Drosophila melanogaster: one gene and its partner. Each later gene encodes a partner of the first gene's protein in a complex. Each region holds a gene or a part of one and is shown in the gene's direction. Other genes may lie near its edges. The genes, in order: InR and Ilp5.

Evidence for each region.
Region 2: the proteins of InR (region 1) and Ilp5 are in contact, whole or in part, in a cryo-EM structure (PDB 8CLS), measured with the Drosophila melanogaster proteins. Residues at the interface, in NP_001138093.1 of Drosophila melanogaster: Ser341, Met342, Asp343, Arg345, Phe363, Leu365, Asp367, Leu368, Tyr392, Arg393, Phe603; in NP_996037.2 of Drosophila melanogaster: Pro31 (codon at 1,839), Met34 (codon at 1,848), Arg38 (codon at 1,860), Gly44 (codon at 1,878), Phe45 (codon at 1,881), Asn46 (codon at 1,884), Ser47 (codon at 1,887), Met48 (codon at 1,890), Phe49 (codon at 1,893).

What each region holds. Positions count from the first base shown.
Region 1 is NT_033777.3:21,616,073-21,621,165, reverse strand, and holds the start of InR (Insulin-like receptor), read left to right. Parts: upstream 1-1,844; 5' UTR 1,845-2,144; exon of another isoform or gene 2,145-2,439; intron 2,440-5,093. UniProt on the Drosophila melanogaster protein: Has a ligand-stimulated tyrosine-protein kinase activity. Binds 3 insulin-like peptide ligands.
Region 2 is NT_037436.4:9,822,731-9,825,621, reverse strand, and holds Ilp5 (Insulin-like peptide 5), read left to right. Parts: upstream 1-1,724; 5' UTR 1,725-1,748; coding exon 1,749-1,911; intron 1,912-1,982; coding exon 1,983-2,146; 3' UTR 2,147-2,273; downstream 2,274-2,891. Other genes in the region: CG43897 (uncharacterized protein), read right to left, coding at 1-819, 982-1,076.

The sequences.
Region 1 (5,093 bases):
TTTAATTTTAGCCTTTAAAAGAAAGCAAAAAGAATCAGGAATACTATTTAAACGATTGGATAACACACAAAAAATGCGAATACTTCCCTCTTATCAAACAACTTTTTGGGCTAGAACTGTCTGTAAATTAGTAAAAATAATACCAACACACACACACACACACACACTTATATAATTTTAAATTATAAAACAAAATAGTTGTAAAGCCAATCAACATTAAACAATAAAAAGAAAATCAATTTCAAATTGTAAAATATATCGAAGACATTTCAAATTAATATGGAGCAGTAGTAGAAGAGGAAGAGAACACTCCTGGGCCCCCAACAAGATGGCTTTGGTTCCTGTTTTAGTGACGCATGCAACAGAATCCTCTTCTCTTCATTTGCTTGGATTTATCGATTGATTTTTAATTATAATATTATTAAAGCTATAACTATGTATCATAATTTGTTATTGTTATAAAATTTAAACTGTAAACACACACATGGGCCCAATAGCAGTTTATTCATAGAAGCCAAATCATCCCACAAAACAAACAACCAACCACTTAACAGAGTCAACTACAAGTACATAAATAATTATTTAAACTCTCTCCTAGTAGTTATATATTTAACTAAACGATAGATAAAAGCAACAAACAAATGCAAATCATACAATTGTAAAAAAAAATCAATAAATAAACGAAGGAGAACCGCAACAAGCCGAAACCACTGTATAATTGTACGTTTAATTTTTATAAGAGAAAACACACTTGTTAGGTACTTTTCTTTCTTTCCAAAAACAAACACATGAAAAAAAGAGAAAATAAATATTACAAAAACGAAGGAAACTTTAAAATAAACAAAATAAATTTTTAAAACCGAATGTCTACTGTTTCAATTAAACTGAATATTTAAGTTTTTCAAGCCGAATTTAAATAAGGTGAAGTTTGCCATGGTCACAAGAAGTGTTTTTTGCTAACTTCTTTTTTAACTAAGCAATTTTGAATCATCATTTGAATGTTTTTGGTAAATATTATTTTTTATATTAATTATTTTTAATAAAGTATAAAGACTGTACTGTTTTATGCATCTTTTCAAAGATTTTTTTAAACACCAAGTTGAATTTTAAATATGTGATCCATTCCTTGGATTTTGATCATTTTACCCATGAGTAGTTAGCAGACTTGTCTGCATGTTTTAAAACGCCCGCCAACTGGGAAAGCAGTGCATTTTAATGCGCCCGCCAACTCGGAAAGCAGTAAAACGTAGCACTGCTTGCAATTTACGATATTCAAGTATGGCGCACTATCTTTAAACTTGAAACTTGCGTTTCTAAAAGCCAAACCCCAAAAAGCAGATCCTAGCGAAATATTTAAAATTGGTTTAAATTGGTTTTACAGCAGCTCCTAGTATTTGTAGTTAGTTAGTATTTATCACCTAGGCGGGGAGTTCAAGGAAATGATTATGCTTGATTGCATGGAAAGTAGATGCTCTTGGACAATGATTACATAAAAATATTTCCTATGTCATTAAGAAATCGACACAATAATAGCGCCATTATTTTATTATATTTTCTAAATTTTTCGAAAAAAAAGTGATCCAGAATGTAATATTTGCTAATGACATTATGCTCATATAAAAGTTTTTACAAATGGAATATCCGTTTTTAGTGCGCGAGGATTCAGTATTGGGCTTCATGGCGTGTTGGTAAACGAAGAGCTCTGCTATAGGTGGCGCGCTAGTGTAACAGCCGGCACTAACAGAGTTCTGTAAGCGGTCAAAAGACAGAGTTCGAAAACGACCGAACAGAGTTGGAAAACGCGCTAAACCGAAAATCGCGTATACAACAAGGGTAACGGCTGGCAGTGTTTCACGCGATTTCGAAACGTTGAGATCGTTGCCGCGGTCGCCGTGAATTGGAATTGTGAGTGTGTTCGTCGTGCGGAAAATCATCGCTGTCAAATAGAGGCCACAGTGAATTGCCGATACCTAATACTGTGCAAGGCGAAATTATGTGCCCCAGCATTTCGTGAATGAAAAGTGCGAAAATACAAAATACAGAGCAATAGTGCGAGGTCGGTGGAGTTCGAATTAAAGAAATTCCACGAAATACAAGTGCGGGCGATTCTCGTGTGCTGGCGAGAGTGCGGCTTGTCCGGGTGTGTGAGTAAAATTCACGGTAAATAAATAAATAAAATTTGTGTACACACACATACACACACACACGCGCGCTCTCCTATTATTTATATATACACAGCATGTTGTGAAGTTGCGGCGCAAAAAGAAAGCACGCGAATAAAACATAAGAAAATTTAATTACGCCTGCGTCTGGGAAAGTGCGTCGTTCTATTTTGAAATCGATACCAAAATAAAATACAAATAGAAATAAAAATCAAAAATTAGGTGACACAACAACAACTAGATCAACAATGCACGACAACAAAACCGTTGCAAAGGGGTATGTAACAAAAACAACAAATAATAATAAAATGAATAATAGTAGTGAGAACGTAACTAGGAAAATACTCGTGAAATTACTACGCAGCAGCAATTTATGCCAAGTTGTTTTTGCTCTCCTCCTCCTCCTCTCTCCGCCCGGTTCCTCTTGTTCCTTTTGTTGTTGTTCCATATCTATCATATCTTGGGCTGTTGTTGTTCTTCTTCTTCGCACACCGCTTTACGTCTCCGTTTTGTGAATGAGCGGCGCAGCCAACATTGTTCTCTTTTTCTCTCTCTCTCTGTCTCTCTGTCGTGCGGAGAGCGGCTGCGCGAAGAGAGGCGGAAAAGAAATGAAAGAATTTCGATTGCTGCCGGTTTTTGTTTTATTATTGTTGTTGTTGTTGTGCTGGTTTATTTTTTATTGTTGCACGCATTTTGAAAAGTGGTACAGATAAGTTTTCCATTGCATTAAATTAAGCCAGCACTAAAAGAGTAACTAACATTATTATTAAAAATAGTATTTCATGAAATTACTTAGTACTATTGCTAAAGACTGTCTCCTTATTGTCCTTGGTAAGTTTTAAAATTAATCATACAAGCGTCAATAAGAGCTATTCAATAGAATTTTATTAAATATTTATAGAATTAGTATAAATTATTAAAAAAAACAAAACAATAAACTTCAAAGAAGTGTCTTAGTCGACTTCCATTAAACACCCATACATTTTTCCTTAAAAGGCGCTTTAATATGTATGTTGCTCTCACCCCCTCTTCAGGACCACCTGCAAAACTCAATTTTTTATTTAATATTTCAAAAATAAAATTGAACTCACCTGTTGACTTGTCATGATTTTCAAACCTTTATAATTCTAAAGTTATACTTTGGAAAATGTGTTGTTTTTTAATGTATGGTGGACACCACACTTTCAGCGGTTGTCAAAAAGTCATGACAGTGCTGTTTTTTATTTTATTTTGGAGCTCGTAATTAGAGTGACCAAAATGCTGAGTAAACCAGCCAAATATATCCAGTACAATTTTAAAGCTCTCACTTGCTAAAACAAATCCCAAAAAGTTGATCAAACTATTTGCTCAAACTGTGACCTTATAAATCGGGTTTCTTTTTATCTTTAAGGTATATGTATAAGATATCCATTAAATTTAGTTTAATGGAGACTTTGTAAAAACGTTTGGAGCTTCTACAATGTTTTCATTTTATAAACATTAATTATTTAATGCCAACTTAAGCAGGTTGAGACTTTAATGACTTAAGTTGACATTAAAAGTGGGATATCCCTTTAAAAGAACGAGATAAAGATACACCCACGATTTACGGGCTTTTGATTTTGTGTTGTATCCGCAACGGAAGCAGATCAATAGATCGGGGGTCTGTGGGTGTACTGAAATAGTGATAAATGGGAAGATATTTCCCAAATAACTGGCGTGGAGATATTACGGGTAAGTGGTTTTGTGGGCGGGAAGGTGGAAAATGGGGAAATGTGGGGATGGGTCCGCTTGCTAATTAAAAAGCATAAGCACTAATTGGCGTGCCGCTGCGCTTGTTGTTGCTATTTGCGTTGCCGTTGAACTGCCCACTTGCTGTGCTCTTATTATATTCGCGTTATTATTGTATAATAAGAGAGAAATGCCATAAAAAATTGGGAGGTTGGGTTAAAACAACAGGCAAAACCGAAGTAGAAAAAAAAAACACCAGAGAATTGCGCATTTTTGTATTAATCATGCTATATTTTTGACGAGGCCCGAAGAATGTTGGCCAATGTATTTGTATTTGTGCGTAATTTATTTATTTTTAAATCGAGTTTGCCTGCCTGCTCTCTGTGCATTTGTGTGTGTGTGTGTGTGTGTGCGAGCATAAGTGCGAGTGTGTGTGCGTGCTGCGACAAAAATAAGTCGCCGCAATAACAAATTGCTGAAATAGAACCAAAATAAAGCAGAAGAACAGAAGAGATCTATAGAGGATGAGGCAATGACGGAACCCGGGCCAAGTTTGTTGTTGTTGCGCCTGCTTTTGTTTCTCTGTATTTTTATTATTTTATTTTTGTGCATGTTATTTCTGATATTGGCTTTTTAATGGTGTGGCTAAAAACCGGAAATTGTTTGTCCGGCTATTGTTGATGACGTATGACCATCGAGTTGTTGGCGGCTTTGGCGCATAATTTGGCCACACTAATTAACAGTGCCGAAACGAACAACAAAAACACACATGCCGCCACCAACACGAATGCCTTTTAAAGCGAGAAAAAACAAAAAAAATGCTCTGACCACATGTCTAAACGTAGCTGCGCGCAGGCCAGAAAGAGAGGGCACGATTGCCGAAAGAGAGTGGCCGGTGATAAGCCTGTATGTGTGTGTGTGTGAGCCGAGCGAGACAAACAGACAGGTGTCATTGACCTTTTTCGCTGCGAAACAGCACACACACACACACATTCACACAGCCAAACAATTTTGTGTGCACTTTTTTCAGCTGCGTTTGCTTCTTTTCCCTCTCCACCCTCTGCCCCTTTCGCACTCTTGCCCTGCTGCCGCTGCTGCTTTTTCTCCTTTGTTGTTGCTGCTGCCTTCACTGCTTATGCTGTGAACTGCTTGGCCTTGAACTTAGACGCGCGTCTTCTAATCGCTCCACACTCCCTCCGCTGCCACGCCCACACATGCATG
Region 2 (2,891 bases), on another chromosome or scaffold:
AATCCACATCTTGACCAGAATTGGGATCATCCTCGCTGTCGCCGTCGTGGCCATATGAGATCTTTACCTCAGTGGCCAGTTTTATGCACCGCCGTTGGACTTTTGGCTTTGAAGTTCTCGGCTTAGGTGGCGGCAATTCCGGAGCACCCACTGTACGTTTCCGGGAGCGGCTACGATCCAGGGAATGAGCCTGTCTCTTGTATCTTGGCCTATATGGAGTGATTTGAGTGGGCAGAGTTGGTGTGGCGGACCTTTTGTGGGCCAATTGCTCGTAGTACTCACATCGCGGAGCCACCAAACCCAAATCCACATCGGCTGCCTTGGTCTCTGGAGCGGAGAATCCCTTGGATATGGGAGTTTGATGGAAAACTTCCGCCAGGTCAGGTTCTTTGGTGTGCTTTTGGAGCGTTTTTGATCTCTCTTTGGAGCCACCATCGCGTCGTCGCTGCTCTCTCACTTCATTGGCAGTGGGTTCGATAACCAGGGTGGGACTCTGGAACTTCTCCCTCAGAGCCTCAATACTGTGCGATGGGCTGCAGGAGATCTGATGGCTCTGTTCGGGATTGATAGTTGGTTGATCCTGCTCAGCTGGAGGCCAGCTGTGATCCCGTTTGAGCAGATGCCTCTTGGTGGCCAGACGGTTGATTTTCAGCACCGTGTCCCGATCGATAGTGATGTCCTGCTGATGACTGAGATAGTCTGTTTTGATCTGGTTCAGAAGCTGCTGGTGCAGCGTGTGATGCAGTGCATCCACCTCGCCTCGTTGACGCGGGCGACTCTGCCTTTCAGTGGGGTAAAAATCTTTGTGGGGGAAGTCCCCTGAATTTATTTAAATTTATCTGTAAAAAACACTAATATTGGACGAGCACTGGGACTGGAGTTTGCTGTTTTGTTGTATGTTTCTACACTGTTTCTTTTTGTCTAGGCAACATAAAATAAACGCGCATAGACAAATATCCAAAAAAGAGAGGTATATCTTACCACATTTGGCTTGTTGTTCTTCCTCTTCGACGGCGCGCAGAACGGCCGAGTTGGCCAAGTTCAGGGGCTTCGTTATTTGATCGTCGACTTCAATCCTAAAAATAACGTAAAAATACAATACAATTAGTAAGAATCAATGCACATCGTATATTGTATGAGGTAAAATTTTAAATTTCGCGGTATATACTGCTTGTGTGTTTGGCGCACTGCTTCGACTGCTTGCAAGCAGTTAGCGCCAAATTTAAATTTATTTTTAAATATGCTCTCCTCGCAGGCATGTATTCGATTGTCATGCGTTCTTTTGGTATATGTTATAGAATTATACATGTGAACAGGCAAAAATGTAATATACGACTTTACTTTCTTAGATATACAATAAGTACATTACTTAAATATTTCATGAAATACAAACTTATGATCGTATGCACTATTTGCACGATAAGCCAATTAAACATATTGAAAATGAAAGCCCTTCTAACTAAAGACCATATATATCGTTATACATTTTGATTTCAGCTATTATATATAGATTCCGCCACCCCCTTGGTGCATCCGATTAAGCGAAAGTTACGCTAATCCATGGGCATAAATTAATGATAGCACCCTGCGATGTCCTGACATTGAAAATTAGCAAGTACGCTCCTGCCCACGCTGACCCCAAAAGACTAATCCAATCTGACAGGTGAAAGTGCGCCGGCGGATATAAAAATGGCTGACAGCGGCGGAAACTGCACCACATCCTATCCAGCAGCAGTTCCAGCAAGGCAATGATGTTCCGCTCCGTGATCCCAGTTCTCCTGTTCCTGATCCCGCTCCTGCTATCCGCCCAGGCCGCAAACTCGCTGCGGGCTTGTGGCCCCGCCTTGATGGACATGCTGAGGGTTGCCTGTCCCAATGGATTCAATTCAATGTTCGCCAAACGAGGCACCTGTGAGTATCGGCTGCGTTTTTTTGGGGTTTGGGGTTTCCAAACGGCACGAACTCACTTATTTTACTTGCAGTGGGCCTATTCGATTATGAGGACCACTTGGCGGATTTGGATAGCTCCGAATCTCACCACATGAACTCACTGTCGAGCATTCGGCGCGATTTTCGCGGCGTTGTCGACTCCTGTTGCCGCAAATCGTGTTCCTTTTCCACGTTGAGGGCATACTGCGACTCCTAAAAATGCTGCGATACCTGGTCCATCAGTTTACATACATACATATATGAGACATGTTACGTAAAAGTATTAAGTATAAACTATATGCACGGCTTTGAAACTTGAAACTACAATAAATAAGCGCAATTCGAAACATCGCTTTTTAATTTCTTCAAACATTAAATATTATAAATATTTCGATAATAATTTTAGCCTTTAAAAGTGAACAGATACACTAAATGGTTAGCAAAAGAACAATATGAACAATTTTAAACACACTTTGATATATCCAAATTCTATTATAACAATGTTTATTTTTTTCCATACGAAAATATGCTCCTTTGAGCGGAAGGAAAATCAAATTTTGATTTAAATCGCAGCAAGTTGGGTGGAAATTTTGCACACAAACAAAACTATGCCTTTCGCTTGCCTGGCGATTTTCTTTAAGCTGGCAAAAAGAGTTTTCAACTTTAATTATAATTTGCTTGAAATGTTTTGCTTTCAACGCATCATCTTAATCTGGGACGAAATGTTTTGCCTCAACAAAACGAGATAACAAACAGAAATATTTAAGCTAAGAAAATGTGCCTGCTGAGATAAGACCTTAAAGAATTTATGGACGACAAAGTCCAGAGATAATCGCCAAGCTTTAAGCTTTTTCGGCAATTTAAGACGAACGTCAGCCATTCCTCATTAGATCCGACATTGACCTTTTAGCTGGGAACATTTGGCAAAAAATCACTCACATCTGTCGGCCTCAACTTTAATT